Sus scrofa: one gene and its partner. The protein of the gene in region 1 purifies or fractionates together with the protein of each later gene. This does not show direct contact. Links are inferred from orthologs where the notes say so. Each region holds a gene or a part of one and is shown in the gene's direction. Other genes may lie near its edges.

What was found. Proteins that work in one complex are often made in the same cells at the same time.
Region 2: the proteins of ASB6 (region 1) and COPS5 purify together in Homo sapiens (affinity purification with mass spectrometry; 3 studies listed by BioGRID and IntAct, with this or other methods). This does not show direct contact. The link is inferred for Sus scrofa from reciprocal best matches to the Homo sapiens genes ASB6 and COPS5.

Annotation. Positions count from the first base shown.
Region 1 is NC_010443.5:269,829,113-269,831,409, reverse strand, and holds the end of ASB6 (ankyrin repeat and SOCS box protein 6), read left to right. Parts: coding exon 1-84; intron 85-174; coding exon 175-283; intron 284-720; coding exon 721-807; intron 808-902; coding exon 903-1,570; 3' UTR 1,571-1,671; downstream 1,672-2,297. UniProt on the Homo sapiens protein: Probable substrate-recognition component of a SCF-like ECS (Elongin-Cullin-SOCS-box protein) E3 ubiquitin-protein ligase complex which mediates the ubiquitination and subsequent proteasomal degradation of target proteins.
Region 2 is NC_010446.5:67,750,415-67,754,043, forward strand, and holds part of COPS5 (COP9 signalosome complex subunit 5), read left to right. Parts: intron 1-1,384; coding exon 1,385-1,496; intron 1,497-3,629. UniProt on the Homo sapiens protein: Probable protease subunit of the COP9 signalosome complex (CSN), a complex involved in various cellular and developmental processes.

The DNA of each region.
Region 1 (2,297 bases):
CTGCACATCGCCGTCCTGCGAAACCAGCCTGACATGGTGGAGCTGCTGGTGCGCCACGGGGCCGACATTAACCGGAGGGACCGGGTAAGAGCCAGGCCCAGCCTGCTCCGAAGGGGGAGGCGGTAGGGTCCTGAGCAGCCCACAGGCCAACCTGGCTGTGCTTTCCTGGCTCAGATCCATGAGAGCAGCCCCTTGGACCTGGCCAGCGAGGAGCCCGAGCGCTTGCCCTGCCTGCAGCGCCTCCTGGACCTCGGCGCAGACGTCAACGCGGCCGACAAGCACGGTAGGTGCCCCCGTGGAAAAGCGGGATGCGCCTGGGCCAGGGGGCCATGGGAGGGCAGGCCGGGCGCATGCTGGTGCCCTTGCTGACTGGCGGGGGCTCCAGAGGCAGGGCACGGCCAGCCCCACGAGGGCCGTGTGGGAGGGAGCGGGGGTGTGTGCTCAGCTTCTGAGGGACAGGCCTTCTGTTGGGAGAGACCCAGCCAGGTCTCAGGTGGCATCTCAGGATCCAAAAATTCCTCATCTCCCGGCCCCCTGTTGCTGTTTTTGTGTGAGTGAGGAGTCCGGCCGGAAACCCGTCACCCTCCACCGTAGCTGAGATGTCAGCTGTCTTTAAAGTTTGTTTTCGGATCCTGAGCGTCTGTCTCCCCGCACCTCCGGGGCCGCCCTGACCTCGGCCTCCTGGCTCCCCGCTCCTCCTCACTCGCTGTCCGTCCCCAGGGAAGACGGCCCTGCTCCACGCTCTGGCCAGCAGCGACGGGGTGCAGATCCACAACACCGAGAACATCCGGCTCCTGCTGGAAGGAGGTGAGGCCGCCCTTGCACGCGGCGGCGCCGCCTCCGCGGCTTCCCCCTGCCGCCCCGAACACGGGTCTAAGGCCTTCTCCCCCCTCTTCTTCCAGGGGCCGACGTCAAGGCCACCACCAAAGACGGGGACACGGTGTTCACCTGCATCATCTTCCTGCTGGGGGAGACGGTGGGCGGGGACAAGGAGGAGGCCCAGCTCATCAACCGCTTCTGCTTCCAAGTGACGCGGCTGCTGCTGGCTCACGGCGCCGACCCCAGCGAGTGCCCCGCGCACGAGTCCCTCACCCACATCTGCCTCAAGAGCTTCAAACTGCACTTCCCTCTCCTGCGCTTCCTGCTGGAGTCCGGCGCCGCCTATAACTGCTCCCTGCACGGCGCGTCCTGCTGGTCCGGCTTCCACATCATCTTCGAGCGGCTCTGCTCCCACCCAGGCTGCGCCGAGGACGAGAGCCACGTGGACCTGCTGCGCAAGGCGGAGACCGTCCTGGACCTCATGGTGACCAACTCGCACAAACTCCAGCTGCCCGAAAACTTCGACATCCACCCCGTGGGCAGCCTGGCAGGAAAGATCCAGGCCCTTCACTTCTCCCTGAGGCAGCTGGAGAGCTACCCGCCGCCGCTCAAGCACCTGTGCCGCGTCTACATCCGGCTCTACCTTCAGCCGTGGCCTGTGGACACCAAGGTCAAGGCGCTACCTCTGCCTGACAGGCTCAAGTGGTACCTCCTCAGCGAGCACAGCGGTGCCGTCGAAGATGACATCTGACGGCTCGGACCGCAGGGAACAGGCTCTGGGTGGCCCCGTCAGCCTGCTGTGGACTTACGTACCGTGGCGGTCGTGGGGGTGCACCTTCGGTCCTGTCAGGAGGTGCAGGTTGGAGGCGAGGCATCGGCCCCCCTGGGCAGAGGAGGCTGGGGGCCCCGTGGCCGCAGGCGCTCCAGCAGGAGAGGCTTCCATCTTCCAGGGAGACTGCCCCCACCTCCCCCTGGTGGCGCCCCACGTCTCAACCCATGGAACCAGGGGCAGGGTTTGGACTTGGGACAAGTTTATAATCTTTGATTTGAGGGGAGCGCCGGGCATTTGCAGAAGCAGGGTTGCTCTAAGACCAGGCCACCTGAGAGCTGCAGGAAGCAGGCCTGGGGTCGTAGCTAAAGCCCAGGGCAGGAGGGGCCTGGAGGGTGCGGCCCAGCCGAGGGCCTTTCCTCTGGCCCCTTGACTCTAGCAACTGTCAGAAAACAAAAAGTGCTCTTGTGGGCAGGGAGGAAGCTGAGCTGCCTCCTGCCGGCTTCTTTACAGCTCTGGGGCCAGGTCACCTACCGCCCTGCCCACCGCTCTAGTGGCAGCTCTTTGTGCCAAATCTGGGGTTTCGGGGACCATGTCTTCTGAAAAACAATCATGCATGACCAGGGCCGTCCTCTCCAGAGGGTCCCATTTTGTGAGGGGCTCATCAGCTGGGCAACGCTACCCAGACTGGAAGCTGAACTCCGCGCTG
Region 2 (3,629 bases), on another chromosome or scaffold:
AAATAAAGACTGCGAGGTTTGGTAACAGACATAACTTACCATATCCTTTTGCTGCCACTTTCTAACTGTGTGGCTTTGAACAAGGTCTGTACTCTCTAGAGCTATTTCTTTGTAGAATGGGAATAATAAATCCTTCTTTGCATGGTTATAGGGAAGATTAAATGACAATGTATGTAAAGCACCAGAACATAATAGGTGCTCAAGAAATAGACTATTCCACTTGCACATTTTACTGTCTGTGTCCTTTATCTACACATACACATATCTTGATCTTGAAAAGCCCTTTACTTAATTCTGATATCTTTAAATTCTTACTTTTGTTTTTTTATTTCTTCACTCCTGAATTAAATCAATACACATTTTGTTGTACCCATGTGTCTTTATCTTTCATACCACTAACCTGAGTCTGAGCCTTTTTCTCCTCACATCTGCTCACTTTCCTTTTTGTAAGTCAGTGCTCTCTGCCTGATTCCCTCCTTGCTCTCGATACATCCACACTATAGGCCCATGTAAGACTTACTCTAAATCCTACTGTTTCCCTAGGGCTTCTCAGGCAGTTCTTTCCATACTAAGAGTATTCATTATCTCTAACATTTAATTGGTGGGTGGTTAATTTTAAATATGCACTATAGCATCACTTACTGCTTTTCAACATACATCATTACTTTTAACTTCTCATGGATCCATTCCACATTTCTCATAAAAACGGGTAAGCTCCTTAGGTAAAGAAGTCCCTTGTATCTCTTTGTATCCATTGCTGTACAGAATATAGGGAGGTATTTAAATATTTATTACTTTAAAAAAAATTTTTTTAAGTTTTTCAGACATTTAACCCAATTTTCCTTGCTCTCTCTGACTATAAATTAGGCATCTTTGGAAGCAATAGTAATTCTTTTACATGCTTTAAGGACCTACCTTAAAGTTTGCTTTTCCAAAAAGCAGTAGGTCCTACTTAGGGAATTCGAAAGGTAGGAGTGGAGAATCCACATGTTATTTTGGGTATTTTTAAAAGCTTAACAAAAGTTATAGTTGACCCTAGAGAGGTAGTTCAGTTTGTGTGCTATTGACTAGAATTTATGAACTCAATGACATGGATAAACACATGTCATTCAGTAGTTCTGTTTAGTTCTTGCTAACCTCTTAGGAATTTCTGGGCTCTATAGAGGAAAGAAATAAATACAAGAGTGTTTAGTTAATAGAAGATTTGAAGCCATGGCCCTAAAGAGTAAGGAAACTATTTTTAATCTTTTGTTCTATTGGACTAAAAACTAAAATATGACTATTTGGATATAAAGTATAATTCACTTAAATTTGACCTTAACCTCTATATGATGTGGTTGAATTATTGTTTTACTTACCAGATTATTGTGCTTTTTTTTCATAGATACTATGCCTTAGAAGTCTCATATTTTAAGTCCTCTTTGGATCGAAAATTGCTTGAGCTTTTGTGGAATAAATACTGGGTGAATACGCTGAGTTCCTCTAGCTTGCTTACTGTAAGTACTGTGCTTTCAAGGGATGTGACTAAATTTTATCTAATCTATATAAGCTGTTTAACATCTGAAACTCTTTCATGGAAAGGCTATATCTGACTTGGCCAAAACAGTAAGGCTGGGATCAGATTCTTCATGACCAGAGGTAGATTAGGATACTAGGCCAAGTCACAATCTGTGTCATGTACCATTGAGACCAAGTCTAAATGACAAATATAGTGGGCCAGGTGAGGGTGAAATCTGCCTCTGCCTTAAACACCTAACAGAGAAGAATACAGATGCTGTTTTGTCTCAGGTTGGACTCTGGTAACAAGTGACAGGAGACCCAACCAAAGCTGTCTTACACAAAAAAGAATCATGTAAACTCCAAAGTCCAGGAGTTGGGCTTACTTCAGGCATAGCCTAAGTCTGCATTCAGACAATATTATGAGGTCTTGGTCTTCCTCTCTTAGCTTTGATTTCAGGTCAGTTGGCTTCAGTTTCAGACTTCATGTGAAAGCAAGATGGCAGCATTAGCTTAGACCTCTCAGCCTCGCAGTTTCATATTCAGAAGATCAAGATACACATACACACATTCATACATACATACATACAGATGCACATTCCCAGGCAAAGCCTCATTATGTCTGAGTTTTGAGGTTACATACCCATCCTTAAAGCTGCTCTAGGCCAAGGTAATGATCACCTTGAGTGGCTAGACCAGGGCACATGCTTTACTGCTGGGCTGGGGTAGAAGAAAGTCTTTCAGGAGCCACGTGGGCTAAGAATGTCCCCAGAAGGAAATCAGAATATCACTACATAAAAGCAGCAGATGTTGAACAACAACAAGAAAGTCAATAAATATTTTCCAATATATCATTAAAATCTAACATTTACAAGAATATTTAACAAACTTCTATCTAGAGCTTAATAAGAAACAGTTCTGTTTTGGTTTTTTTTAAAACTTCATAGAGTACAGTATAGCATAGTGATTAGAACCACAAAACCTGGAATAAGATCAACTCAGTTCAAAAACAACTCTGCTGCTTTACAAACTGTATATGACCTTCAGAATATTATTTAATGTGACTGAGCCTTTCTTATTATCAATGATAAGAGTACCCACATTGTTAAGTGCACTGAGAATCATATGAAATACTTTATGTGTAAAGCAGTTCGCAAAGTGCCAGGCATTATAATAAAGCCACAGTAAAATTTTTTTGTTGTTTATTGTATTCATGGGAAGAGACCTCACTTGAGCATATTTACTGCGATTTTAAATACAGTTCTAACACGCTTTCCATTCTTTCTTCTTATCCTCAATGGTCAGAAGTAGCAAACTGGAAGGAAGGAGAGTGACCATAATAGCAAATATTTATTCAGTGCTTTCTATGCACCATGCACTGCTAAATGCCTTATGTGTGTGGTGTTTCCTTAGAGACAGGTATACTGATAGCAGCCAGAGGTGACAGATGATGGCAAAAGGAGGAACTGTAAGGCAGGAGTGATCTGAACTTTTGTATAAAAGCAGACAGCTCTACTTACTCAGCCTATGGCTGTCCCTATATTCCAGCACTGCATATATGAGGACATTAATAATTAAGAAAAGGTTATATTGGTGACTTTTTTGTGGTTTTATATATAGTATATTGCAGCACTTTAAGAAAAAAATACATTTTTTTTCAATTCATGTTTCCCCAGCTAATGCATGTAATCTAAAAGTTACCATAAAAAAATCATTTTATGATTTATTTCTCTGTGTATTTTGAAATGTAATTGATTCTTTCTTTATTTTAATAGTATAACTATTTCTGCTACCCTACATTTTTTAATAGCTTGCACTAAATCTTCCAGATGTGAGGTAGTCTACAAACCCTAGGATTTTCTCCAAATCTGTGGAGTAGAATGTATTCATGACCTAAATCATTTAGATCCAGAGAAAGTGAATATAATCACACCTTTAAAAAATATCATAAGTTTGTAAAATCATTGGAAAGCTGGTAACATTTTATAGGGCTCCTTGTAATAACTAAGATGACAGCAAATAACTCTTAAAAAATATCTTCTGGTTGAACTATATTTCCTGTACATGGTCTTACAGACTGAGCAAATAGAATAACAAAAAGATATTCCAATAAAATCTTTTTTAAAATATTA